Macaca fascicularis: one gene and its partners. The protein of the gene in region 4 interacts with the protein of the main gene of each other region in a biochemical or structural test. Links are inferred from orthologs where the notes say so. Each region holds a gene or a part of one and is shown on either strand. Other genes may lie near its edges. The genes, in order: YWHAZ, LRP6, EIF2B5, GSK3B, SREBF1, KLF5 and MUC1.

Region 1 (4,014 bases), on a different chromosome or scaffold from region 4:
TACTGCAGAGTGTTAATTCCCCCCTCCTCCGACCGAAGCCAGAGGGAGGAGCAGCCCGCGCCCCCGCCCAAGCCGTGGCGCGGCGGGTGGGGGGGAGCGAAGCCGCCCGACCCCGGGGCAGAGACGCCACAGCCGCCCGCAGAAGCGGAACCACTACCAGCCCCGCCACGGACACACCCCGCTCTCCCACCCAGCGCCTTCCCCGCCACCGATCAGCGCCGATGCCCGTGTACAGCGTCTCTAAGGGACCGACAGCTGCAGGTGGGGGAGGGGACGAGAGCCACACCCAGCAGAGCGGGCCACCAGCGGCTATGCTCAGGGTCACCCGCCCCCAAAGCAGGATATGCGTCCCCAAACCGAGCGCAGGGAACCTCCAGTTCTAGTCCATCACGCACGGAAGCCGACGGCGGGCTCCCCACCCCGCTCTCTACCCCCACCTGGACTCGCAGCCCCCGTCCGCACCTCCTCCGCCCGTTCGAAAGGAGCAAAAAAAGTCAGACCCATCCCCCACCCCCACCAGGAAATTTCAAGTCCTTCCTCCCACCGCGGAGCCCACGAAATTCAGCTCTAGGTCGCAGGAGAGCCCCACCCCAAAACCTCACCCCGCAGTGTGCTCCCCCTCGCGCCGGCGCGCGGCCTCGCCCCGGTCTACCTGGCGGGCGCCGCCGTGCCAGGCCTGGGCTCCGGCCCGCTCTCGGCCAGGCCTTTCCCTCGCTCCTGGATCCCCGAGGCCCCCGGCCCCTCCCCGCCGCGCCGCCGCCTCCCGGGGTGGGGGAGGGCCGGGTCCCGCCGCCGCAGCGCCCAGCGCAGAGGCTGCGCGAGGGGGAGGGGGGCGGGGGAGGGGAAGGAGGGGGCGGCCGAGGGAGAGAAGAGGGGGCGGCCTCACCTGCGCCACTGCGATGCCCGCCGCCGCCGCCGAGTCATTATCTCGGGCGGAAGCGAGAAGGGCGACGAGGGAGGGGGTGGGAGCCCGCAGAGACAAGGGTGGGGACGGATCGCGGCCGGCGGCGCCCCGGCCATGCCTCGTCCACCTTTGGGAGCCGGCGACAGGGGGATCCCCAGGGATCTCGCGTGTGGGCGCCCTCCCCACCCCCGGGAGCAGGACGGGGGAGCGAGCACCGATCGGCGCCGGGGCGTCGATGCGGAAGCAAGGAGTCGGAGGCGGCCGCTAGCCGCCCGCCCGAACTCAGCGGAAGAGGAGCCGCCGCCCGTGTCCGCTGAGGAGACTCCGCCTCAGCCCGGCGCCGCCACCGCGGGGCTAGTGGGGATGAGAGGACGGAGCGAGGACGGCTCCCACGCGTTCGGAAGGCTGGCCTGGGACAGGAAGGAGCGGGGCGCGGCGGCGGCCAGGTTCCTCACCTGTGTCCGGAGTGGGTGGTGGCGGCGGACAGACAGGGGCTCAGCAGTCTCTGGGCGGCGGCGGCAGCAGCAGCGGCGAGGCTGAGACTCTGTCCCTGGATCTCGCTGCTCACAGGCTACAGCCGCTCCGCAGACACGGGGTTTCCTCCAATCACCAGCCCCGGCAGCAGGGGCACCACACGCACGATGACGTCAAACGCTGCTATGGCAACCGTTGATTGGTGCCCACAGCGATCTGGGCCCCGCGCAACCGCCGCTCCCCGGCGCGCGTCTTGCCCGCCCGCGCTGGAGGGCGAGCGGAGGCGCGTGCGTCCTCGCCCGCAGCCGCCACTTCTCCCACCCCGCTCGGCTCCCAGCTCCTCTACGCTTGTCCCGAGTGCACCTAGGCAGGAAGCTTTTTTTTTCTTTTCCCGCAAACCCCCCCACTCCTCGCCTTCCCCTTGGGTCCCCGACGCCCTCTCTCTCCCTCTCCCCTGTGGCCTCCGCCGGTCCACTCTTCCTCTCAGCCTGTGGGAAGGCGCTCTCTCCCTACCCCCACCTTAGCTTTCGCTCAGGCCGTCTGCGCTTGCCCCAGTCACTCCCTCTGGAAGGGGCTCCCGTTCAGCAACATCCGGGACCTTTCACATCCCCCCACCTCTCCCCGAGGCCCGGCCCGCCCCGCCCCGCCCTCCGTGCTTCGCGGTAGTAACTGCCCCGGGGCCGTCCCCGGGCAGGATGACGAGGGTGGCTCGGCGGCTCCGGCATTGTGATCAGGACTTGCGGGGTGGGGGCCGGGCGCGGTCGCACGGCAAGGGAGGGTTGTGTGTGGTGCGCTCCCCCCGCCCCCCCGCCGCTCCCCTTGCCCGGAGGGGCGCGCGGCCCCTCCCGGTCTCCCTCCCGCCGCCGCGGCTTTACCTGCTGGCTTGGGGGAAGCGGCCCTAGACCTTTTATGGCTCGGAAACGGGAGTGAGGCGTCCAGCCCGAGTGTGGCTGAGTGATGGGGAGGCGTTCCAATCGAGAGCTCGGGATCTGCGCTCGGTGACTGCCCGAGGGGACAATGGGTGGGCGCCGAGGTGGGGACGAGATGGGCCGGGCCGGGCCGGGCGGAGCCGGCGGGAGGTGAGGCCTGGAAGGAGGCGCGTCCGCTTTAGGGAAGCCAGAGTTCCGAGGGGAAAGGACAACCTTCTCTGGCGGAGGGCTGGAGCTGGTCCTGGCAGCCTTGACCCGGAGACAGGCAGTCAGGCGTGACCGCACGGACCCGTTTCTCGTAGGCTAGGTTTTCCTACCCAAATAAAGCTTTCACGTGAAGACCTCATACTGCAGTGACTTAACACATGACTATCATTACCTTTTTGTCTCCTAGAAGCAAGGTTTGAGGGACGTCGTAGTCCCCAGGGTTCCAGCTGGCGGTGGGAGTGGACCACGGGCCGGGTGATGAGCGAGGACAGTAGCCCGGAAGAAGGGGAAGGAGAAGGGCGGAAATTGCAGGTGCCTGAACGGGTAGGGCCTCCGCCCAGTTGACTTAAGGAAGTTCAGAGAGAAACATTCACAGTGCGCTGCCCCTTCACTCTTTAAATGTGTTCGGGCTAAGAAAAGGTTAGTGCCTGGATGACCTGCAAAACCACTTGCAACAGTCATAGAGACTGTACGGTTAGCAATGAGAGCGCTTGGAACTCTTTATTTTACCCTTGTGTAAACTCCTCATTGATTCTTCCAACGTATCTTTATTGAGCTTCATTTAGCCCCATGTTCTCTACAGAATTTAGTTTCTCAGTAGTAGACACGAAATGACTGAGTCCTCGCTCTTCCAGTACATTGTCTTTCTTGCATAATACAGTGGACCACAAAGCTGCTCTACAAATTACTTTTTGCTTGACATGACAGCTGGCATTTAGATAGTACAGACCAGAAAGAGAGTTTCCAGTGACCAGTTCCATTTCAGTGGGTTTTTTGTTGTTGTTTTTCACAAGCTGCCAAATCACAAATTCATGGTAGGTTAAATAGATGAACAAATTGGAGTTTTATTTCTGAGATGTTAGGGTCAACTAGCTTTGACTCTCAAGTAAATTCTTTTTAGGGCGTGACTCACTTAAAATGACTAATATTTCAAAAGCTATTTTTTTTAACAGTTTTTTCCAGTTTTGTGGTAGGCACCAGAAATTTGACAGAGGATACTAAGTTAAACGTTTTTTAAAATGGAAATTCATGTTTCTTTAATGTCTCAAATATATGTCTATGTAGCGTGTATGCCTTTTGTTTCAGAGGAGGTTAAGGGGTTTCTCTATAAATTGTGAGTTTAGGAAAGAAAGAGCTAAGTTAGGTTTTTGCCTCATGCTTTAATAGAAAGGCATTTTTTAGCGCAACAATAGGCACTGTTAGGTTTTACGTACTCAAGTCAACGTGTCTGCACAATAAAGATACAATGAAGCTGCAAGAAAGGAACAGGGGATGTTATGAAAGTCCTGAGGAAAAGATCTTTCAAGAAATAAGGAATAACCTATGGCATACAGAGCAGAATAAATAGAACCTATGAACCCTGGGAACGTTGCTGGAGACTTTCACTAATACCCTGACCTGTTTTATTTTCTTCAATGCGCAACTCTTACCTCACTCAAGTTGGTTAACCTCTATGTGCTTTGATAGCCACGGCAATAAAATACTGGCAACAAAAACACT
Region 2 (3,341 bases), on a different chromosome or scaffold from region 4:
TATAGCGCAAATCCTAATAAGAAAAAATTCTTTTTAAATAGATTGTCTCTAACCAGAACATATTTAAATGTTTTACTCAGAAAAAAAAAAAAAATATATATATATATATATATAAATGATTTCATACTGTGATATATGCTGAAAGTAGTGCAAGGATATATGATTAATTTACAACAAAAACATAATGGTTAAGTTTTTAATTCTTAAACATTGTCTATATGTGTTGTAAAAAGACATTTTAATGAGCATTAAAACAATCTTGGAAGAGAAATAATATGTCTAACTTTTGATCATTATGCAAAAACAGCTGTCAAATTGAAGAGCTAAGCCTACTGGGGAATGGAGCTAGAAGAAATATTAAAATCAACTTGAATTTAGAAAATTCCATTTAGTCAATGCCTCAGCTTAAAAAAATCCTGGTATCTTAGCCAAATGACCTACCAAGTTGCTGGGGGAGGCAGCAAGGTAAACATAGAGAAAAAATTCATTTTGACAGAGGTATGGATTCTAAAGGTAGGGACAGAGACTTGCACACACACACAGCTTCATGGCATCTTACCTCTGGCTGATCTCTCCTACAACAGCAACACCCAGAATGGGTTTTTAGAAGTATCTATCTTCCTCACTAACACTGTTGGATTCCTAGAGAAAACAAAGCCTTTCGTCCAAGGTTAGTATTAATTCCTTTTTTTTCCTTTCATGATTTCTTACTTGTTGGCCCTCAAATGTTAGTTAACTGAAGGCTAGCTGGCTACATCCAAGTATCTATGGTTTGCTGCTCTGAGATGGACTTAATTTTTCTTCTTCCTCTTTTTTGTTTTTGGTATCAATAAAGCCCAGATATTCCTGGTCAGTGATGCCTTTATAATTCCTGTTTCCTTTGTACTCAGTTGCTTCACTGGGTTTAAGGCATGCTTTGTGTATTTAGTTTGCAAAAATAAAACTTTTAGTACAAATTTATTTTTTTATACAAACTTTTATAGCACAAGCAGCAAATCTGCTGTTTTAAGAAAATATATAAATATCCTTTTCTTCTGTACAAATATCTCCAGTATTCCCTACCCCATTTTATAATTTTAACTGTACATGGTCTGCCTCATCCTTCTCTAATAGCTCCCTCCCCCCCTCCAGATCTCAACCAAATTTATATTTACATTTTTACGTTGGAGGCAGTCAGAGGAGGAGGGCCCCTCCTCAGGAGGAGTCTGTACAGGGAGAGGGTGGCGGTGGGTAGAGGTGATGAGAATAGCTCCTCTCTGTGTATGGAGAAGGTGGGCAGCTTTCATAGTTCTCCTCTGCCGACAAGTATTGGCTTCGGGGTGTGGGAGGTGGGGGCACAGGTTCTGAATCATAGTTCAAGTCACTGGTATAGCCCTTGGCTGTTGCCACTGAGGTCATTCTCCGACTAGGAGCATAGTCACTGTCACAAACATCTGTGCTGCAGGGTGTGGTGGGGGGTGCAAAGTGCCGGTAGCTATATGGCCTGTAGCTGGCATAGGAAGAAAATAAAGAGAAGCAGTTAGTTTTACAAAAAAATGATTTTCCCTCTCAGAATAGAGGTATTAGATGTAAACTACACTATGAAAACAATAAGCTACTGCCATTTAAATTTACACAGACCAAGAGGCAATTTTCAATGGCAGATTCGCTAAGGAAGACAGCATGTACTTTATTTGCAAATAAGAAAGTGGCAAGTGAAAATGAACAGGATGGAAATGCAGAGGTGAATTCAATCTAGCCTCTGAGTGTACTCTTCAAGTTAAACTGTATCACAGAACAAAAAATGACTATTCAAATTTGTTTTGCAGTTTCATAGCCTATGGGAAGAATGGGTTTTTACATATTTTATACTGCTCAAACATGTCAGTATTTCCTCAACATTCTTTACTCCAAAATTAACCTGATGAATAATTAATTTAATGACATCTGAAGACTTCATTTCTTTCTTCTGTACAATTCTGTACAATTTCTGTACAATCCAGGCTGGATTTTGGTAGACAGCCTCAGGGGCATAACTATTCCATTACTGTTACCTTAGCAAAGGGAAATTGCTGTGGCTGGGGGAAACAGTTTTCATTCCCTGTGTATAGATAAGTACCTGTCATAAGAGCAGCTTTAAACATCAAAATGATAAAATTTAAATGCCCATAAAGAGTCAGTGAATTTTCTAATGTATATTTCAGAGGCCTAGCTTATTTCTTACACTTATTTATCTTTATAAGGGATGTACAGTTGTTAGGTTTGTAGCATTGCTAACTAAAGAAAAAGGCATTGCAAAGAGAGAAACATACTAGTGAAAATAAGATTTGACCTAAGTTCTGGCTTTTCTGTCATTTCTACTTCTATTTGTAACTTCTTATACCCGTTTACTCTAAATATGGTAAAGCTGATCTTAAACTTATCCCAAAGATTTTTTCATAAGCTTTCTCATCAAAGGATCAAGAGGATAGGATTGACTACAAGAGAAGGGGCAAAAGCAAGTTAAAAAGTGATACAACCATTCATAAAACACCTTGTGATATACAGCACCACAAGATAATATATCCCAGGAACCCAGGATACAAACCATTTGCTATCACTTGGACTGACTTCAAAAGAAATGGCTGCCATGATTGTTCACAGGTACAGATCAAACTCCTTGTTCTACTCTGTTTCCCTTTCTTACTACTGCATTTGATTAGTCTTTAACAAAGAAAGAAAGAAAGAAACCAGCCTGGGCATCATAGCAAGACTCTGTCTCTACAAAAAATTAAAAAAAGTGAGCCAGGCATGGTGACACACACCTATAGTCCCAGCTACTTGGGTGGCTGAGGCAGAAGGACTGCTCGAGCCCGGGAGGCGGAGATTGTAGTAAGCTGTGATTGTGCCCCTGCATTCCAGCCTGGGCAACAGAGCAAGACCCTGTCTCAAAATAAATAAATAAATAAATAAATAAAAATAAAAATAAAAAGGCTGCCAGAGACCAAAAGTTACGTGACACACTGAGCGAGTTCTCAAAGGCTTTTACTATCAATACTGACATGGTGTCACAGTTACTGTTTTGTTTTGTTTTGTTTTGTTTTTGGTCTTAACTTTTTGTCCAATCAGGTGTCAATCCTTGGTGAAATTTCTAAGGTTAACATTTAAAAGTCCAAATACTTCTATTTTCATGAAAAAAATAAAACAAACTGAATTAACAAAATTCTTTCACGTCCCAGTTTAGACCAAAATCTCAACAAATGATGAAAGTTTTGACTCAGAGGAACAGAAATTGGGCTTATCTGGAAAATAGTTAAGCAAGAACAGTTTTTTATGCAATCATGTTTATTCTGCTGACTGCCTCATTCAATTTGATTTAAAGA
Region 3 (4,023 bases), about 67 Mb from region 4:
TTCCCATCCTGACCTGTGTTCCTCAAGGGCTCTGGTGATATTGATGTTTGAGATGACATCCCCATACACCAGAAGGAAGTCAGAGCGCACCAAGGCCTTGGCATCAACATCACGGAGGACATCTCCCAGTGATCGATAGAGCTCTGATGTAATTATTCGAACCACATTGAGAGATGTAGGGCGGCACCACTTGGACTTCCTAAAGGAAGGGAGGGTGAGGGGAATGAATATATCAAGCATAAATATCATTTGAGCCTTCCCCATTTTTCACCCCCATTCAGCATTCACAGTCCTCAATGGCTTTTTTGGGTTCTTGCCAGCGTCTTCAACTTCAAAGAGAATCATGAACTACAATGAATGCTTTCAGCATCCTGTGTCACCAGTCTTGTTTTATGGGTTAGGAAACATGGTTATTTCCCCTCCATACCTTGACCCCTTGTCCCTAAACATCAATTTGAACTCAAAATCCTGCTGAAGCCTAGGGTACACAAAGTACCCTGGGAACACACTTCATGTCAGCTTTCCCCTTCTGCAATCCATATAACATTTAGCAACTGTCTGATGGAGACCATGCTAATGTCCTAGTCTTTATTTCCTGGACTTCCATAAGTGATGCGATTCCCTAGTTTTCTTTTTTTTTTTTTTTGAGACGGAGTCTCGCTGTGTCTCCCAGGCTGGAGTGCAGTGGCGTGATCTCGGCTCACTGCAAGCTCCGCCTCCCGGGTTCACGCCATTCTCCCGCCTCAGCCTCCCAAGTAGCTGAGACTACAGGCGCCCGCCACCACGCCCGGCTAGTTTTTTGTATTTTTAGTAGAGACGGGGTTTCACCGTGTTAGCCAGGATAGTCTCGATCTCCTGACCTCGTGATCCACCCGCCTCGGCCTCCCAAAGTGCTGGGATTACAGGTTTGAGCCACCGCGCCCGGCCAGATTCCCTAGTTTTCAAGATTTCAAAAAACATGTAAGTGCTCACTACATGCTTGGGACTGAGTTAGGCAGTGGGAATACAAAAATGACAAGGAACTCATTTATATCCTCGAAGGTGAGAACAAACAAGATTTAGAAACTCAGTGGGAAAACAAAGATGTTATCGTTGTAACTTCCATACTGAAGCCATTACATAAAAGCAAAGTCCACTGGGACCAAACTTTATAATGAGATTCAGAAAAAACCCAAGTTTATTCTTTAATCTTTGTCATAGAAAACCCAAGACAGACAGATACAAAGTTTCAGCTGCTCACCTCCTGATAAGTGTAAAAAATACCCTTAGAACTTACAATGATGTCTAAGTAGACACATTTTTCCCTTCTCACATTTCCCCTTAGTTATATTCATCCTGAAGAAACTGGAAAAAGATGGCGAAACATGGAAAGAAAAGAAGAAAAGTTGCAGGGCCTTACAGTAAATGTTCTTTGATTTGAGCAGCTTTCCAGCAACAAAAGACAAATGTTTCCTGTACACCTGTGGCAGTCAGGAATTCCAGAGTATAGTCAATTAATGCCACATTGGCCAGGGGCAAGAGGACCTGAAGGATAGAAGATGAAAAAAAATTGAGGTCTCGAATCCCTTTGGATACCCCACTGCAACAATTTTCACTCCTCTATTAATATTTCCAAATGGTGTAATTTTGCTGTATCTTTCCAATTCAAAGGTACACAGGTTCCTGCCTTTGATGTTCACGTCATGCTCTAAGCCTGAGTCTGAAACGTTGCAATTTGGGGATGGTAAGTACAGAATCTGTGTGCCTTGTATCAGACACAGAGCTGTGACAGAATGGCAGTTCACCGCTGGCAAAGGATAATACTGGAAATCAATCATATTTCCATAAATTTAAGCATTGCTAAGGCCTTCTTCCCCATAAGATTTCCTTCCTTGATCCCTTTCTAAGTGTCAGAGGTTAGCCATCTCCCGTCACTTTTCAAAAATGAACAGCCATTAGGCTTTTTCGAAAGAATTAGAGAGGATTTTCTTAAATCCCATGCAGTTCCCTCTCTCTGAACTGAGGGCTGCTGAACGACCCAGCTGAGTTCAATACTCCATTGTCTAGACAACTCGGGGGCTGATGGCAATCAACCACTAAACCCATTTTGTCCTTTCGACAGATAGCACCGGGTATCATTAGAACCTGGAGGGGGAAAAAAAAAGTACACTGACCGAGATCTAGCCTGTTCTTTTTAAGGCATATTACCGCCCTTTCAGAGGCAAAAGGTCGTTTCTTTTCACCTAAGCATCCGTCATCTGCAAGGTTAAAAGCGGCGCAACCTCTTCCAGGGGCACTGAATCCCCGCGTGAAGACTTTCTCAAGCGCTGTTTCTACATTTAGCTCTCTTCATTCTTTTCAAACCCGAGGTGTACAGCATTACCAATGCCCAAATCTGCCGGCCACTAACTTGGTCAGCAGTCATCAGGGTTTAAGACAGTACCTCTGCCTCCTTCCTAACCACGTAAACTCGGTTTTAGGATAACAGTATGGACACAAGTCCTTCAAAGGCTTGCCGTAGTAGTTAGCCGAAAGGAGAACTTGCTCCAGCCCTGCCACACTTCCTGCCCTCTGGCTGCTCGCGTGCGCTGCGCTCACCCGAGGCTGGTCCTTGGAGATGGGGAAGAAGCGGCGATCGAAGCTATCGGCCACCAGAACTGCTTGTAGGGGCGGCGGCGGTTCCTCCTCCGCCCCTCTGGCTCCCCCGCCACCGCTGCCTCCCGGCCCCGCGCTGCTGCGCTTGTTGGCCCGACTAACCACCACACCAGGCGGCGCCACTACAGGGGCCGCCATCTTCTTCTCTCACGGCCACCACTTCCGCAAGGAAGCTGACACCGCACGCAATAAGGGACAAAAAGGATCCAGCACTTGAAATGCGATGAACTAATTAACGAAGGGAAGGAGGAGACGAGGAGGGAGCAGTGCGCATGCGTCTTCTGCGGGCGCCCACAGAGTTCTAGGTTGATCCCGGAGGCGCGAGGAGTGGGGACGGGTCGCGGTTGTCCCGGCCCCTGGAGGCGCAGGGTAGGGGTGGGGTCCCATAGACGTCAGACTCGGTCTGCAAGTATCGTCGACCTTCATTTGTCTGTGAACAAGTCGAGATTCTTGCAGCGTGATAGGATTTGTGGTCGCCACGAAGGGGCCAGCTCCATCCGGAACCTGTAATCGTCCAGCAGTTTCCCCGCCCCGCGCATGTGAAATATGTAGCCCTCCGTATTCATTCTAGAAACTTCTGGGAACCCAGCGCCTTGGGGAGATGGAACCGAGCCAGATGTCCCCCCGCTGCGAGGAACTCAGAGCCTGCATAGAGAAGGTGGCATATAGTAGGGAGACTAGTAATTCCATTGAGCGCTGATTTTGGGCTAGGCACGATACAAGCATTATCTCATTTAATTCGTCACATATCTCTGCAAAACATCTTATTCATTCGTTCAGCAAACATTTCTTGAACTCTCAGAAGGATGAAGGAAGTTTACCCATCTAGTAAGTGGAAGAACTGGTATTGGAACCCGATCTGTCAGACTGCAGAGTTCCACAATCTTGCTGCCAAGTTATGTGGGGATAACAATGACGATTTAATGTCATCTATTCATTCTTCCAGCCTATCATCCTCCTCTGTCTTAAGCAGAGTGGAGACAGGGGTGGATCCAGGCACACCAGTAAGTTGTACTGGCATTAAGCAGTAAGCTTTCTGGGCAGAGGAAAGTGCGGGCGTAAAGGTCCAAGGCTTGAAAAGGCGCAGCAGCACCTTTCTCTCTTTGGGGAAAGATGCGGGGGCTGCGGGGAATAAACCAACCCTGCAGAGGGGCGGGGCCGTGGGAAAGCGGTGGAACAAGGCAGGAAGCCTGGGCGTCATTTGGGAGGCAAGAAGCTTTTCTGTAAAGCATCGCGCCCTTTCTGCACGGGACCTGTCCAGGTTCCACGCCACAGGCTTCTGCAGTTCCTGCAAACTTCCCATCCCGCCCCGCGTTGCACGTCGGGATTTGAAGTTTGCGATGCTGAGCGTTGTTTCCACGTGGCGATTCCGACTTGACCCGTCGTGTC
Region 4 (4,181 bases):
AGGCTCTTAAGTAGTTATTATAAGATTTGTATCATCATAGCTGAAAATTACCCCGGAATTTTAAAATATTTTTCAAATGACTCCATGAAGCGCTTAGAAAGCACGACCCTTCCCTGAAAGATGCATAATCAGCTGTCCTCTTTTCCTACCCCGGCATTCTCTACTTGCAAACCACCGGGGGAAAAAAAAAATTAACTTTGAAAAATAATCTCCCATTCAGCTATTACCTAGACTACCCTGTTTCAGGCTAGTTCCCAAAGCCAACACGAAATGAAATCTTGAGTTCAACTAAAAGTGATCATTTTATGTTGCCTAAGAATATAATCAATTTCACATAACATACATGTTTTTTGTGTGTGTCAGTTCTTAAAATCTCAGTTTTTTAGTTCTCTTCGTTCTTCTAAGCAACACAGTAATTTCTTTGCCCTCATGATGACCCTCTTTCCCACAATAAGGAAACAACATAGATATTTTTGTTAAATTCTGAAAGTATGTTTAAACAAGCTGTCATTAAACACCACATGAACTTCTCCATAAATAGAGATACACTGGAACATTAGATACTTAGTATATACTAAACATTCAAAAGCATACTTCTCAGCACAAACCCAGGACAAGAGTAGTCTATCTACAACCCTGAACACAGTCCAAATATCCCTATTATTTGCAGGACCACAGCCATCTGCAAAAGCCAAAATGGAAAGGACTAAATCCACATTCTTCTAACTAAATCCACAGTTATCTAAATGTGATGGAAACTAACGCAAGAGTATTTTAAATCGTCCTTTTTAAGGAACCCCCCAGAACATTTAACAGGAGCGCAACAGTACTCCAAAATTGAACTTAAATGTAATGAGCCAGTGACAACATTTAACTTACTATTTGGCACTATGACAAAACAAATCTCAATCAAAACCTGGACCTATTAATACTTCCATGTTACCTTTTGATTAAATATAAATTATACGGTGGCAGGTTGGTAATGTCAAAACAGGAAGGTTAAGAGAGAACACATCAAACCACTAATCCAATCGAACACAAATGCATACAGAGATGCTACTGCTGCTGGGTATTTATTGGCTCCCACTAGTCCCTTCTAAAGAGAGAAATCAATGACAGCCTCCAAATGTGAATGGTTACTGAGCAAGTTCATCCACAGATTAAGAACAAATACTATGTGTAGTCATACAGACAAGAAAAAAATGTTGGGAGGGTGGGACGTTTAATGTCTCTATTAAGTATACCAAACTATGATAAATCCTGAGACCTAAAATACCCTCTTATTCCAAAAGACATACATTCTGCAAATGTGCACAATGGTTTATTAATCAAATCTTGTCCTTCTCTTTATTCTAAAGGATGGGCAAGTAAACACGGTCATCACTAACGTGGAAACACTCAAGCACTTGATGAAACTGACTACCAACAGCAAGAAAAGTATAAGAAAGCAGTTTCAAATCGAATCATCCAAATAAAAATCATATTATCTCAATTCAAGGTTAATGAGACCGGGGGAGGGGGTATGGGAGGAGTAAAGAGGGAGCTGCTTCATCCTTGACTGAAGATAGGTTTTGCCCTTTTCCATTGCTTGTTTGTTATATTAGGAAGTCTAATATTTTCAGATCCTGGTATTCCGAGATTTCTTATTTTAAGGGCGAAGTGGAAAAGGGGCGTAAAATAAAATCAATACTCACTGCTAACTTTCATGCTGCCAAAAGCTGAAGGCTGCTGCACCGGCTTGCAGCTCTCCGCAAAGGAGGTGGTTCTGGGCCGCCCTGACATGATCACTCTCTTCGCGAATCACCTTTTCCTTCCTTCCTCCTTTTCTTCCTTTTGTCTTTATGTTGGGGTGTTAGGTTAATGATAAATGCAGCATTAAGTTCTCCCACAGAAGAAAAAGAAAAAGACTTCGTCCTCTTGGTTTTTCACTCCTTTTGTATACTATAAAAAACAAAACAAGCGATGTATTTCTCCTTCAAGACAGATCGGCACGGATATTTAACATATAGATGATTTACGGCTGGGGAAAAAATACAATTCCTTCCCCTCCCTTTCCTGGGAGGAGAGAAAAGAAGGGGCAAATCCTAAAAAAATATGTATCACGTGAAACAGGGGCAAATACTTGATTGAAAATGAGTACTTCGAATATTATATTTTCCTCGGGGATTTTTTTTCCGAGTCAATGAAGAAGGGAAGCGGCGGAAGGATCACGAGTCTCACGCTTGAAGAGAAAGGGGGATGGGTAGGAGGGAGGGAGAGGGAGGGAGGGGGTGGCTCGGAGATGCGACGGGAAACGCTGCAGCTCCGGCAGCCGTGGGATCCGGCGGGCTGACGGCGGGGGCCCGGCGAACTGGAGGGCGGCGGAGTCGCGAGTCAGTCAGAGGCGGGCGGTGGCGGCGGCTCCTCTCCTCATTGCGCCAGGAGCAGCTGCAGGCGGCGGCTGGATCCAGCGGCCATGGCGGCGGCGGTGGCGGAGGCAGCTCCCTTCAGACCCCAGGCAGCGGCTCCTCGACTGCTCCCCATACGCCGGGGACATGGGAACCCGGCAACCGCTTCCGTCCCTCGGGGCCCCCTCCCCCGTCCGCGGCAACAGCTCGGCCGCCCTCCCGCCCCTCGCCTCTGTTCGGTGCCCGCTCAGGAAGTGTCCGCGCTTTGCCCCCAGCCCAGAACCCTGTCAGCGGCTGCGGGGCCGGCTCCTCCTCGCTTCCTTCCTTCCTTCCTTCCTTTGTCACTCGGCCCGGGCGGCGGCGGCAGCGGCGGCACAAGCCCGCATTCGCCCGGGTCAGGGGCTGCTCTGTGTGAGAAGCGCTGTCTGCGCAGCCGCCTTGCACTTCCCCACTCCCCCTCCCCCTTCCTACTCTTCCTCCACCTCCTTCCTCCCCCACCCAGCCTTACACCGCCCAGCGCACCGCCGCCCGCGTAACAGGCGTCTGGGAATCGCCGCCCGAGCCCCACTCTCGCCCGCTTCGGCTGGGAGCCGAAGCCCGAACGGAGCCAATCACGGACGTCGTTTGTTTGCGGCTCCTCCCGGAAAAAGCCGATCGGCCTGAGAAACCAATTAGAAAGTGACGCTGGAAAGCCACGCCCAAAGAGCGGAAAATGCCGAAGGCAGCCGAACGGAAAGGGTGATTTCGCCTGGTTCGGTGGCTGGCTGGAGGAGACATTCGACAATGGCAACAGTGGCCAATCAGAGTCGCCGGCCCTCACGAAAAAGCTTGAAGAGTTGAAGACGGTGAAACCCAGAGACGCTGGTGAAACTGCACGGTTGGGCGCCGCCGCCGCTTTGTAATTGGCTGGAAAACTCCGCTGGGAGCGTACCTCCCTCGGTGATTGGTGAAGGGAAGGGGGCTTCCGAGGACAGTTTGGCCAGTCAGGACTCCCCCTCCCTCTCCAAGGTGGGGAAAAGAAAGCGAAGGGAGGGCGTCTATAAAGCGCCGTCTCATTGGCCGGAAGCTTAGGCGCTGGAGTTGGGGCAAAAGGGAGAGGGTGGAGCTCGAAACTCGCGGCGGTGGCCAATCGGCTCTCACTGCCGTCCAATCGCAAGACCTAGCTGCGGTGTGATTGGCCTTCGGCCTTCGTCCCAGGACCTGGGAGATGCCCGACTAGGGTCGTGGCTGACGACCCGACGGCTCGCCTGCGGCCTCCAACTACGGTGGAAACCGCAAATAGGGACCGCCTGCCCTAGGCGCAGCAAATCGGAAAGTGCTGCGGTCGGCGGCGCTGGGTTCTAAGCGCTCAAGCGAGCAGAGGGGTCGAGGGGTTCTCCCCATCCACAGGAGGCTCTCGGCGGGGCGCAGCCAATTCTGCGCGCCTAAGGCTCTCCTCTGCCCTGGATCGCGTGTGCCGGGTGTCGGCCTCTTCCCCGAAAGGGCCTGACGGACAAAGGGGGCCTTCCCAGCCGGCAGCAAGCTCTCAGACGCTAAAATGGGAACAAAGCTTCTTTGGGCGGCCGCGCCCCGCCCAGCCTCGGGGGCCATTGATAGAGAGGCCCGCTGCGCTTGGTGTGCGCGGCCCGGCCGGGCCTCTGGAAACGCCCATGAGAAATGAGCTCATGCTGGATGCGCGCGCTCCTTGGGCGCAACTGCCCAGCGCAAAACGGGCCCCGAAAGCAGGTGAGGGGAAATGCCGTCAGGCCGGATATCCTGAAGCCTCCAAGGAAATGGGGGGTTAGAGGAGCCCGT
Region 5 (3,624 bases), on a different chromosome or scaffold from region 4:
AGGGAGCCCGCCCTTCACAGAACAGGAAACCTCTCCGCGCCTGTGCCCCCTCTCCAGTGTGGCGGCGGGTCGGGAGGGAGGAGGCTTCTTTGCTGTGAAAGGACCAGGGGCTAGGATGGGGGCAGGTGAGACGTGCCAGACTTGCAGGGAGACCCAAGCTGTAGCTCCTGTCATACAACAAACAGGTCCTGGAGGACAGTCCATCCTCCTCCCATGCCACCCAGGGACCTGATGGGGACACAGCTGGGAGGAGAGAAGGGACAACTGACCCCATCGAGGCCCTAAGGGTTGACAGCCCAAACGTGCCCTGGGAACAGGGGGACAGGTCAGCTGGAGGCCATACAGCCAGCCCTCCCCACTCCCCCTACTAACATCGGAAAGAGCTAAGTTGTGTCCCTCGTGGCCGGAGAGGGGAGGGAAGCCTTTTCCAAGGTGCTGGGGGAGGGCCCAAGCACGCTCACTGGTCAGCACATCAATCAGCTGAAGACACAAAACCCAGATTATAAATAATTTCATTTTTAATTCTCTGTACAAAACTTCTCAATCTATGAAAATAAAGTTTGCAAAAGGCAAAGTAGCACGGGAGCCTCAGGTCAGGAGGCTGAGCACGCTGACCTACACTATGTACACGTCTTCCCACAAGGGAGAGAGAGGCCTCTGGGGCTAGAGCCCCGCTTGCAGTCCGGGAAAGCCAAGTTGGCTTCCGTCAGCGCAGGGAAATGTACCCATCTCTTCCCTCTAAACAGGAGGAAAAAAGCCACTAAGGTGCCTGCAGAGCAAGGAGGGCCCCCCCGCCCCGAACAGCTCGGCTCCTGCAGTGCCCCGATCGGCCACCAGAGGTCAGCACCATCATGGCCGCCGGTATTAGGGTCGGGTTTGCGCCCCTCTGGCCTTCCACCCCGAAGGGACAGCGCAGCCGCGGGTGAACCGTGGAGGCCAGGGTCTCTCGCACTGCCTTCGGCCTTCAGGGCTTCGACACAGGACAGAAGCTGCACGGGACAGAAGTGGCTAGAGACAGGGGTGCTGAGGCCGGGGATACGGGTTCTAGCTGGAAGTGACAGTGGTCCCACCGCCCAGGCGCATGAGCATCTGCTGACAGTCGTGCAGCAGCCGGCGATCGCCAAGCTTCTCGAGCGTGCGCGCCGCCTCAGCCAGCATGCCCACGCGCTGCCCGGGCGCCGACAGGAAGCCAGGGGGCAGGTAGCAGGAGGCTAGCAGCAAGGCCTCCGCGTGCTCCCGCCTCGTGGGCCGCGGCTCCAGCTCCGCCACCGCGCCTGCGCACACAAGGATGTGTCAGGGATGGGGCTCAGGCTGGCCACGCCCCCGCGGGAGCCCCGCCCACACACAAGCAAAGGCACCAGCCGCCCATACCTAGTATACACGTTCCCCTCTCCCCACCCTAGTCTCAGCCCACACATAAAGTCCACAGACTGAGTCACGCACGTGTAGTCATATATCCCACAAATGACAGTTGCCCCACTGATTTCTTGTGAAAGGAATTGTCATCAGGTAACCACCAAGAAGATGCTTTTTTGTTTTTTTCCTTGAGATAGGGACTCTCCCTGTCACCCAGGCTCACTGCGGCCTCCAACTCCTGGGCTCAAGCTATCCTCCTGACTGGGCCTCCCAAAGTGCTAGGCGTGAGCCACTGTGCCAGGCCTGTCTGTCCCGTCTGACACACACGCAGCCTCCCTTGGTATCACACCCCATGTGCGCCCTTCCCTGCTGAGCAGACAGCACATCCCTGGTCAGCAGCTGCCCCTCACCTCCTTTGCCACCGGGGCCTGCCCGCCGCCTGAGACTGCGGTCGAGGAGTTGGTGTGTCCGTGTGGGGCTGGCCCCCGCCATCAGCCGGGCCGTGGCCTCATGTAGAAACACCTGGGGGCCAGGAGAGTGGAGGCTCAGGGCTGTCCCTCTCCACCACTGCCTGACTCCCCATCTTGAGGACAGGGAGCCATTGGGCACTCACCCTCCGCATGGCAGGCCGGAAGCTCTGTGCCAGCCGCCTCAAGCTGCTCAGGTCCCGTTGGAAGCCACGCAGCTCAAGGGCAGAAGCCTGAGGCCCGCTGCTGGTGCCCTGGGCTGCTGGGGCCGGGGCCGGGGGCTGCTGCTGCCGCCACAGGCTGGTGCGTACCACAAGGAGCAGGTCACACAGGAACAGCTGCACGGCCTGGGGGTGGCGGGCAGGGCAGGGTCACCAGGGCTCCAACTCTGGGAGGGGCAGGATGGGGGCCCGCGGTGCCAGGGGCCGGCTCCGGGCTGCACTGCCGAGGCACTGCACCCGCCTCACACACGTGCAATGCAACAGCAATGCACCGCGGGGCCGCCCGCCTCTCTTGGCCCCCACGCCCGCCACCGGCCCAGGAGCAGCTGTCCAGCCCTCCTGATGCAGGGCCTCCAAAGGGATCCTACCACACCATCCACCCCCATCCTCCCAGAATGGGGAAACTGAGGCCAGATAAGGGCAACCCCTCTCCTCTAGACAGAAGCCTTAGCCAAAAAGCAAGGACTGCTGGATCTCCTATCTGCTGGACCCCTCATCCTGTGCTGCTTGGGCTAACCCCATGGTCTTCTGCAGTCCCTGGGGCCTGGGGAGAAGGACCAGGGAATGGAAGGCTGAGTCCCCCAGCCCTGCCAGGCCCCTGACCCCACCCCTCACCTTATCAATGGAGCTGCTGGCTGGTGTGGTAGCCAGGCTGTCCTGCAGGTACCCACTGGCCTTCTCACAGATGGTCAGGCTGGCTGGACCAGACTCTGCCTTGGCACAGCCCAGCAGGGCCCGGGCAGCCTTGAAGGAGTGCAGAGCCGCCCTGGGCAGGGGTCTCCTGTTGGGACCAGGGCAGAAGAGTGCCAATCAGACCAGTCCACAAGCCCTGGCTGAGTGCCTCCCACTGCCCTGGCTCGAGTTCCCTGGGGATAAAAGGTGGTGACCCCTCCTGCACAAAGGCTGAGTGGAGGTACAGTGCCCAGGGGATGAGGGAGGCTGGGCCCAGGGCCAGGCAGGAGGAACCTGCCGTGCACTCACTCAGACTCCTGCAGCACCCGGGGCAGGTGCTCCACCAGTGGGCACAGCCGCTCAGCCGCCTCCTCGTCCCGCCGCAGCCAGTGGATCACCACAGCTGTCAGAGAGGCCCACCACTTGGCCACTGGGTCTATGCCTGCAAAAGAGGGAGGGTCCCCTGAACCCTCAGCCACGCTGCACGGGGACTGAGAAGGGAGCCAGGGCAGGGGCCGGGGGCTCACCGGTGGTGGTGGCCATGCTGGAACTGATGGAGAAGCTGCAGGCAGGAGCCCCCGCGGCATCAGAACAGCTGTTCAGCAGCTGCAGGTACCCGAGGGCATCCGAGAATTCCCTGTGGCAGGAGAGGGTTGGCTGTCGGGACAGATGGCAGGGGTCCTAGGAGGGTGCTGGCCCTCCCCACCTGCCCACTAGAGTACAGCCTGACCCCTGGCTCTGCAAACTGCCACTGTCTCCTCCCATAGGCTGGTGGGGAGAGGAAACCCAGAGAGGAACGAAGGGCGCATGGCACGCATGGTAGCCTAGCTCTGGCCCTCTCCGCAGGGTTGAGGACAGAGCTATTCCCAGAATCCTGCTAGAGGAGCCTTGCGTGGAGGAGGGCACAA
Region 6 (4,190 bases), on a different chromosome or scaffold from region 4:
TCTTGGGAAGGACAAACAATCGGCGCCTACTAAAAATTACCCCAATCCCTGTATAAGGTACTCGGGCAAACTCCTCAGTGTTGCTTATAAACATATCAGGCTTATTTTGTCGATTGTGTAATAATTGGTTGACCAAAACCTTATGAAACTGTGTAACTGGTAAAACTGCTCCCCCAATCACCCCCAAAAGTGAAAGACGCAAATCAAGAAAAAAAAAGAAAGCAAACTGAAAACATTCCTTTCTGATGCAATAACAAGGTATCACCCCTGTACAAGCAGGATTCCCTGCCCCATTACACAGTTAAATTTGCAATTAGAGTACACTATTGAAATGTTGCCAAACTACCTCAATTCTGTTTAAGTCATAAACATTAAAAAGCGTGTTTTTTGTTTTGTTTTGTTTTTTTACAGAAAAAACTATGCAAACCTTTAAAATATTGCAAAGGTTTATTTGGCTAGACACTTCAAAAGTAATATAAAAAATATTCTTTGGCTACTTCTGTGTCTTTTCTTGTTTACAGTTCAATGAGAAATACAATGTTCTAAGCAAAACCTTGTATCCACTGAAACAAAACAATTTCACATTCAATATTTGACCTAAAGGTTGATTTTAATCAGCAGATCCTGTAATTGGTTAATATGATAATGAAATGTTCCTATTCATACCCCTATCTAAAACAGATCTTTAATTACCTAGGGGAAAATCACTCCCTCGCTAGAGTGCTGCTAAGGAGCCCGTGGGTGGGGAGGCTGCTGTATCCCTAGCACAGTCATCAGCAAAACATTTATCATGTCCTCCTCAGTGGGCCAATGCTACATTCCCCCCGACTCTGTAAAAAGCTCAGTCATCCCTTATCTTCTTGTGCCTCCAGAGCAGAAAATTGACAAACTGAAATAACCAAATACTTTTCAAACGATGATCTCTTTTCTAGGCTTTTAAATCAGCTTGTAACAAGTCGCCTCAAGCTTTTTCCAGCTATCTTCTCTCCTAGTATAACTTAAGCCTACATTTTTTAACACTGAAAAAGGAAATTTCGAAAGATAAGATAACCAACTAGATGGAATGGCGCATAGTATTAGCTTGGCACCTTAATCGGTAAATAAGACAGTCATTTTCTGCTACTACTTCATTTCAAATGCGTTTCATCTCGGACCTTGGTGTGGATCCGGACGGGGTTTCCCGGATAGACACGATTTAAAAATAAAAATTAACGCTCACGTCATGTGAGTCACATCTCTGACAAATGCCACTGCCCTCTCACAGCAGGACCCTGACAGACCCCACGGAGTAGGCGCTGGGTAGCAAATATGCGATACGCCAAAGGGCTACTAAATGAAGTGTCTTGAAATAAACTGAACTAAACCCTTTCGTGCACTGCGCTCCCGCGGCGGTTAGTGGTTTCTGATTTTAGCTCTTCCAGCTGTTTGCATGTGGGTATGTTTCCAATTTTTTTTTCCTTGGGACAGGCTAAAAGTCCCGGGAAGTTTTTTTCTGGGCTATATGACTCCCTGCGTGGGCGAAAGAAACAGGCGGTTGCTCTAATTCGGCTGCTGGGCAAGTGTAAAAGCCAACTGCCAGCTTTCAACGCGGCTCCGGGAGGAAATTTACGCGCACACGAAGAAAACAACACCCCCGGTCTTTTTTTTTTTTTTAAGGAAAAATAAGCGCTCCAACACAACCTTAGCTTTCCTAACTCTCATTTTCCAAACGCGGCCCGCGATCGCTTCTAAAGCAGGTTGAGCCACCGGCTATGAAATCTTGAGCAACCTCTCCCCAGCACCCCAATTTGCGTTTCTACTTAACCCGAGACGATGGGGATGGGGGAGCTCCAATGCCTTGGCACTGGGGAGCGGTAAAGGTGAAGACGTAATTTAAGTAAAACTGAGCGTAAGGTACAAGGTTTCGTCCCTCAAGTGTAAGAAAAACAACTAAGGTGCGTGTGAGCACCCAGTTCCCTCCCTCTGATCTCTCCCAGGCCAAGCCGCCGGGGCAGATTCCCCTCTATCCTTCCCCCCTCCCGACCCCTCATTTACTCTCAGCGAAACGCGGGTCCCCGGCCAGGCGTGCAGGGCGGGGCTGCCCACCCAGCACCGGCTCCGGTGCGCCCCGACGCACGCCCCAGCCTGGAGCGGCCCCTGTCGCCCGCGCGTCGCAGCGACGGGACACGCCCGGGCCCGGGAGTGCAGTGGTGGGAGGGGAGCGGCTCTTCCTACCTGGACTAGCTCCTCGGGAGGCAGCCGCGGGCCGGCAGCGGGCGGCTGGGCCGGCTGCGGGGCCTGCGCGGGCGCGGGCTGCGCCTGCGAGCGGTGGTGCGCGTGCTTCAGCTCCTCGCCAGGGAAGAGCGCCGCGTCGCGGGCCGGATTTGCGGCGCCCAGCACGGGCTTGAGCTGCGCGAACACGGGCTCGTCCTGCGGCGCCGGCGGCTGGGGCACGGGTCCCAGGCGGGCGCTCATGCTCAGCACCCGCGTAGCCATGGGCACTCGGGAGCGCGGCTCCGGGCGCGGGTCGGGCGCACTTCCCACCTCGCCCACCCTGGCTTGGGGCGGCGAGCTCGGTGCGGGGCTGCGGTCGGAGGAGGGGAGAGGTTTCGGGTGGACCCCTCAGACAGCGGCAGGCAGTTTTCGAAGGCGCGCACGAAAAGCAAAACTCTTCCGCTCTTCCACACGTAAACGCCAACGTCCTACGGGCGGCCACTTTCTCCCGCCCCGCCCCACTGCGCTCTCAGGCTCTCCAGAGCCCGCTCCCGCCACCGCCGACCTCAGCGAGAGAACTGCGAGCGCGCGTACCTGCCCCACGACTACTGACACTTGACGCCCGCCTCTATTTCACCCAACTCCGGGGGGGCGGGGCCCGCTCGCCTGATTGGCAGCGCCGCCGCGAATCCCGAGGCCTCAAGGCCGGCCGGGCCTGAGCGGCCAGCCTATGAGCAGGGAGAGAGGCAGCCAGGGCCCCGCCTCCGCCGGCCCGACCGCACCCCTCTCGGGCCACGAGCTTCGCGCGCAGGGCGGCCGCGCAGTTTGTACACAACTTCTCTGACAGATTGGGCTGGCGGAGCTGGGGGCGGAGGGAAGTAGCGGAGCGGGTGGAATCTGGGAAGAGGGGGAATTAGGGTGGAGACGCGGAGGGAGAGCTCTTCGCACTGTTCTCTGCCAGGATTAGGAAGAAAAAGAGTATTGCACGTCTTAGGTGTTGTGCAAGGACCTGAAACTCAAAAGCTGAAACCCAGAAGGCAGCTAGGTGGGGGCGCTGAGGCTTTTAGAGATTTGTCTAATGAGTGTGTACTTTTAAATATCCGAAATATACTTCTCTTTAGCAGAAAACTAGGGGCGGTGTGATAAACAAATTTAAAACAGCTCTTGTCTCATGTATCTTTAGCAGTGACTGTATCCATTTAACAAGGCAAATTCAGAATGCCTGAATAAAAGATTTGATGGGAAGCGTTATTTTCAAATCCTCGCATAAAAGCCTGAGTTTTTCCCACTCCTTCAGGATTTTAATTGCTAGACGTTTTCCCACACATTTGTACCTCCTATCCGTGTGTGGGGAGGAGGGCTTGGGCCACATGAATTTTGAAGTTTCTAATATTTAAGCCATGTTGATTCTAGCCGAAGCATGGAATCTAATTTAAGCACGACTGGCTCAAATGTGTACTTAAATAGACATTACATCTTTGACTTATTTTTGCTAGCACTGTATGTTAAAAAAATGGACTTTAATATTTACAAAACAGAAACCTAGCACATTTACCTCACATTGTGGCACCTTTTCCTACGAAGAGACAACCAGAAAGCCACAAACATAGACACATAGACACTGAAAACTGGGAATCCAAATTTGTTGGAAGGTAATAGCCAAATATATTACCGTCCATTTACTATGTTGTTATAATGGGAGGGTGAATTTTTGCCAGGAATCACCTAAGGAAACCACTTCCCTTAATCCTTAATGTTCTTGTACATGATTTTATCTGGCTTATTGGGAGGACGGAACAATAAACTGCAATAAAAATGCTTGTGATATTACTACAAATGTACATATGTTGACAGCACAGTATACCATTAGACAGTTTTACATATACGACAGCCTACTCATCGCTTCAGAGTAAAACAGCTTTAAAAAAAAAAGTATTTGAAAAAAACGTTCACTTCAAAGAGCATATCTATCAAAGGTATGGATCTCATTTTCAATG
Region 7 (3,968 bases), on a different chromosome or scaffold from region 4:
GGAGTGCTTTCTGTCGGCGGGGGGGTGGGCACTGATCAGGGCCAGGGACTGCACTCACCAAGGCAATGAAATAGACGATGGCCAGCACAACCAGAACACAGACCAGCACCAGGAGCGCAATGCCCCAGCCTGGCACCCCAGCCCCGGTTTGGGCAGAGAAAGGAAATGGCACATCACGCACTAAAAGGAAAAGCAGTGGTTAGGGCAGTCTCCCAGAGGAGGTGCCCCTCTAACTGCCAGCACTAAGGAAAAAGTGGGGAACTAGACACTGGAAGGAGAGGGGCCCCAGCATGGTGCTGGGCTGCAGCCAGGGAAGTAGCCTCACCGCTGATGTCTGAGATCGTCAGGTTATATCGAGAGGCTGCTTCCGTTTTACGTTGATTGAACTGTGTCTCCACATCGTGGACATTGGTGGTACCTTCTCGGAAGACCAGAGTCGATTGTACCACCACAGATCCTGGCCTGGTCACAGGGAAATGGGCACTTCAGCCACAGGTCCCAGCTCTGGCTCAGGACTCTCCCCCAACCTTGAGTGCACCAGTCCCTCCTTAAGGTCATGACCAACACCCACCCTCCAACCACCACACTGAGTCCACACCCAGAACTATACCTGAACATAATATTGGAGAGGCCCAGAAAATCCCCTTGTTTATAAATCTGCAAAAACTGGGGTGAGAGGGAAAGGACTCAGGCTTGATGCAAAGGGTGTGGACAGTTCTGATGGCTGCTTCAGGGGAACATGGGAAAGGAAAGGCTGATGCTCACCAATTCAGAAATGTCTCTCTGCAGCTGTTGGTAGTAGTTGGTGCTGGGATCTTCCAGAGAGGAATTAAACTGAAGGTTTGAAATGTGAAAAGACAAGAAAAAGAAAGAGACCCCAAGAGACAACTGGGGAGAAGTGCTGTGATTGGAGGAGGTGAAAGGAGGTACTGTGCTATGGTGAGTGCTACTGGCATCAGTCTTGGTGCTGTGGCTGGCAAGGGTGGTAGGAGTATCAGAGTGGTGGCTGGGAATTGAGAATGGAGTGCTCTTGCTGGCTGGGGTGGTGGTAGCCCTGGCAGAGGTGGTGCTGTGTACCAGAGTGGAAGCTGAGCCTGATGCAGAGTCTGAGGCCGAGGTGACATCGTGGGCTGGGGGTGCGGTGGAGCCCGGGGGTGCGGTGGATCCCGGGGCTGCACTAGTGCCCGGGGCCGAGGTGACAACGCGGGCTGGGGGGCCGGTGGAGCCCGGGGCTGCACTGGTGTCCGGGGCCGAGGTGACTACGCGGGCTGGGGGGCCGGTGGAGCCCGGGGCTGCACTGGTGTCCGGGGCCGAGGTGACTACGCGGGCTGGGGGGCCGGTGGAGCCCGGGGCTGCACTGGTGTCCGGGGCCGAGGTGACAACGCGGGCTGGGGGGCCGGTGGAGCCCGGGGCTGCACTGGTGTCCGGGGCCGAGGTGACAACGCGGGCTGGGGGGCCGGTGGAGCCCGGGGCTGCACTGGTGTCCGGGGCCGAGGTGACAACGCGGGCTGGGGGGCCGGTGGAGCCCGGGGCTGCACTGGTGTCCGGGGCCGAGGTGACAACGCGGGCTGGGGGGCCGGTGGAGCCCGGGGCTGCACTGGTGTCCGGGGCCGAGGTGACAACGCGGGCTGGGGGGCCGGTGGAGCCCGGGGCTGCACTGGTGTCCGGGGCCGAGGTGACAACGCGGGCTGGGGGGCCGGTGGAGCCCGGGGCTGCACTGGTGTCCGGGGCCGAGGTGACTACGCGGGCTGGGGGGCCGGTGGAGCCCGGGGCTGCACTGGTGTCCGGGGCCGAGGTGACTACGCGGGCTGGGGGGCCGGTGGAGCCCGGGGCTGCACTGGTGTCCGGGGCCGAGGTGACTACGCGGGCTGGGGGGCCGGTGGAGCCCGGGGCTGCACTGGTGTCCGGGGCCGAGGTGACTACGCGGGCTGGGGGGCCGGTGGAGCCCGGGGCTGCACTGGTGTCCGGGGCCGAGGTGACATTGTGTCCCAAGGTGGTAGCCGAACCTGTGGCTGGTTCCATGGCCAGGGCTAGGGTGACGTCCTGTCCCTGAGTGGTGGAGGAGCCTGAAACGGGGCTGTGGCTGGAGAGTCTGCTGCTCATACTCACAGCATTCTTAGTAGAGATGGGCATTGAACTTCTTTGGGTAGCCGAAGTCTCCTTTTCTCCGCCTGGGGTAGAGTTTGTATGACCAGAACCTGTAACAACTGTTGTGGGTTCAGGGGCTGTGGCAGCTGTGATAAGTTAAACTAATAGGGTTGGGTTGAAGGAAAAATAAGAGCAAGAAGAAAATACAAGCTCTGGCCACCAGAGAAATAATACCAGGAGGACTGGGGAGTGGGCAGCCTCAGCAGCCCCTGGGTTGGCTGCCTCCTTCCCTGCAGCAGCCTCCTTCTGTCTGCCCACAGGCCTCAGCTCCTGGCCCCTGCATTTCTCCCCTCTTAAGCCTTCCCTCTCCCTACTCCCTTCCCCCTAGACTTCTCTTCAGGACATTTGCTTGCCCCTGGCACCCACTCTTTGGGGGGAGCATCTCTTCTCAGCCTGCCCTTAGCCTCTCCCTCCTTCTGGCACAGACAGAATTCTTGCCTTTCATGGTGCATCTGCCAGGGAGCAAAACCCACAGAAAGACCACGAAGACCACCTAAGCAGGGCAGCCCACTCCCCACCTTGTGCCCCTCACCTGTAAGCACTGTGAGGATCAGGAGCAGGAAGAAAGGAGACTGGGTGCCTGGTGTCATGGTGGTGGTGGACTGGGTGGGGAGAGGGCAGAACAGACTCAGGCAGGCGCTGCTTGAGAGGTGGAGCGGGCACAGGCGCCTGCTGCTTTATACCAGTCCCCCTGGCCCCCCTCCCCCCTGCCCGCCCGCCCTAGGCACAGCTGGAGCAGGTGACAGGTGACAAAACCCCGCCCCCTCCCCCTTCCCTACCTTCTACCTGTTCCTCCTCCTCCCCTACCATTCCTGTGTAGGCTACAAGGGCTCTAATCGCTCAACCCCCTGACTACCCATTTGTTCTCCAGCTGGCCTCCCCCTTTCACCAACCACTCCCTGGCTCCAGGGTGGAGTGGGGAGGGGCAGTCTGGAACCTGGGGCCCCTGGGCTCTAGTTTTAGCCCCAGGGCAACAACTAAGGTGGGAATGGGGAACAAAGACGGCTAGGTTGAGGTTCTGTACAGCAAGGCCAGGAAGCCCACCCCTAGGTCTCCCACTCCACTTCCCTGCCCTCCTTGGGTCCATTGAAGCAGAGCGGGGCCAAGAAATAAGAAGGCTGGATAATGAGTGGACTAGGTGCTAGTTTTGGGCTCCCTCCCCCCACCACTTCCCGGAATAGCCCCACCCTTCTAACCGCTCCCTGTCCCGTTCCAAACGCAGTTCTACCCTGAAACCCACAGTCCCCGCCCCAGCCGGACTTTCCAGCAGCCTGGGTTCCCTCCTTGGCATTCTCCTGAGAAGGGAGTGGGGGAAGAAATTTCCACTTAAGGGAGGAAACCTGGGCTCCGATGAACCCTAGGGTCCTTTCTTGCCACTGTCCACCACTGGCCAGGAGCTCCTCCCGCCCTCTAGTGGTCACCAGGAGCCTTGCGGGGCTGGACCGCGCCGGCTGAGGAGCTTTTCTGACCTGGCGGAGAGGAGTAAGGGCAGCGCTGCCTAAGTGGGGCAGCGAGAGCCCGCGAGAGGGAGGTAGGGCCCGGGAGAGAAGGGTCACTACCGTGGCCAGGGAGGGAGGAACGCACAGCATGGTGGACTTCTGGGAGCTTTAGGAGGGGGCACTCCTGGACGCGTGGTGGTGGCGTCTGGAGGAAATGGAGCTAAGCGGGTGGGGTCCTGAGGTATGTGGAAAGGGCACTGAGATATGTGGGAGAGGACATTGGAACGTGGGCAGAGGAGTTGGACACGTTCTGTGTGGGCCGTTATGTACTTAAGAGGCAGATCGGGCCGGGCGCGGTGGCTCACGCCCGTAATCCCAGCA

What was found.
Region 1: the proteins of GSK3B (region 4) and YWHAZ form a complex in vitro, tested with the Homo sapiens proteins (2 studies listed by BioGRID). The link is inferred for Macaca fascicularis from reciprocal best matches to the Homo sapiens genes GSK3B and YWHAZ.
Region 2: of the proteins of GSK3B (region 4) and LRP6, one has a biochemical effect on the other in vitro, tested with the Homo sapiens proteins (2 studies listed by BioGRID, with this or other methods). The link is inferred for Macaca fascicularis from reciprocal best matches to the Homo sapiens genes GSK3B and LRP6.
Region 3: of the proteins of GSK3B (region 4) and EIF2B5, one has a biochemical effect on the other in vitro, tested with the Homo sapiens proteins (2 studies listed by BioGRID and IntAct). The link is inferred for Macaca fascicularis from reciprocal best matches to the Homo sapiens genes GSK3B and EIF2B5.
Region 5: the proteins of GSK3B (region 4) and SREBF1 form a complex in vitro, tested with the Homo sapiens proteins (2 studies listed by BioGRID, with this or other methods). The link is inferred for Macaca fascicularis from reciprocal best matches to the Homo sapiens genes GSK3B and SREBF1.
Region 6: of the proteins of GSK3B (region 4) and KLF5, one has a biochemical effect on the other in vitro, tested with the Homo sapiens proteins (2 studies listed by BioGRID). The link is inferred for Macaca fascicularis from reciprocal best matches to the Homo sapiens genes GSK3B and KLF5.
Region 7: the proteins of GSK3B (region 4) and MUC1 form a complex in vitro, tested with the Homo sapiens proteins (2 studies listed by BioGRID). The link is inferred for Macaca fascicularis from reciprocal best matches to the Homo sapiens genes GSK3B and MUC1.

The regions. Positions count from the first base shown.
Region 1 is NC_088382.1:110,578,404-110,582,417, forward strand, and holds the start of YWHAZ (14-3-3 protein zeta/delta), read right to left. Parts: upstream 2,801-4,014; 5' UTR 2,687-2,800; intron 2,465-2,686; 5' UTR 2,254-2,464; intron 1,478-2,253; exon of another isoform or gene 1-1,477.
Region 2 is NC_088385.1:14,883,575-14,886,915, forward strand, and holds the end of LRP6 (low-density lipoprotein receptor-related protein 6), read right to left. Parts: intron 1,490-3,341; coding exon 1,195-1,489; 3' UTR 1,155-1,194; exon of another isoform or gene 945-1,154; intron 643-944; 3' UTR 501-642; downstream 1-500. UniProt on the Homo sapiens protein: Component of the Wnt-Fzd-LRP5-LRP6 complex that triggers beta-catenin signaling through inducing aggregation of receptor-ligand complexes into ribosome-sized signalosomes.
Region 3 is NC_088376.1:96,052,244-96,056,266, reverse strand, and holds the start of EIF2B5 (translation initiation factor eIF2B subunit epsilon), read right to left. Parts: upstream 2,801-4,023; 5' UTR 2,773-2,800; coding exon 2,578-2,772; intron 1,525-2,577; coding exon 1,400-1,524; intron 200-1,399; coding exon 14-199; intron 1-13. UniProt on the Homo sapiens protein: Acts as a component of the translation initiation factor 2B (eIF2B) complex, which catalyzes the exchange of GDP for GTP on eukaryotic initiation factor 2 (eIF2) gamma subunit.
Region 4 is NC_088376.1:163,085,340-163,089,520, reverse strand, and holds the start of GSK3B (glycogen synthase kinase-3 beta), read right to left. Parts: upstream 2,801-4,181; 5' UTR 1,783-2,800; coding exon 1,695-1,782; intron 1-1,694. UniProt on the Homo sapiens protein: Constitutively active protein kinase that acts as a negative regulator in the hormonal control of glucose homeostasis, Wnt signaling and regulation of transcription factors and microtubules, by phosphorylating and inactivating glycogen synthase (GYS1 or GYS2), EIF2B, CTNNB1/beta-catenin, APC, AXIN1, DPYSL2/CRMP2, JUN, NFATC1/NFATC, MAPT/TAU and MACF1.
Region 5 is NC_088390.1:17,916,450-17,920,073, forward strand, and holds the end of SREBF1 (sterol regulatory element-binding protein 1), read right to left. Parts: intron 3,354-3,624; coding exon 3,244-3,353; intron 3,159-3,243; coding exon 3,026-3,158; intron 2,826-3,025; coding exon 2,660-2,825; intron 2,171-2,659; coding exon 1,970-2,170; intron 1,879-1,969; coding exon 1,767-1,878; intron 1,275-1,766; coding exon 1,045-1,274; 3' UTR 501-1,044; downstream 1-500.
Region 6 is NC_088391.1:64,025,675-64,029,864, reverse strand, and holds the start of KLF5 (Krueppel-like factor 5), read right to left. Parts: upstream 2,801-4,190; 5' UTR 2,476-2,800; coding exon 2,215-2,475; intron 1-2,214. UniProt on the Homo sapiens protein: Transcription factor that binds to GC box promoter elements. Activates the transcription of these genes.
Region 7 is NC_088375.1:105,950,651-105,954,618, reverse strand, and holds the start of MUC1 (mucin-1), read right to left. Parts: upstream 2,801-3,968; 5' UTR 2,739-2,800; coding exon 2,681-2,738; intron 2,208-2,680; coding exon 766-2,207; intron 667-765; coding exon 611-666; intron 463-610; coding exon 326-462; intron 181-325; coding exon 59-180; intron 1-58. UniProt on the Homo sapiens protein: The alpha subunit has cell adhesive properties. Can act both as an adhesion and an anti-adhesion protein. May provide a protective layer on epithelial cells against bacterial and enzyme attack.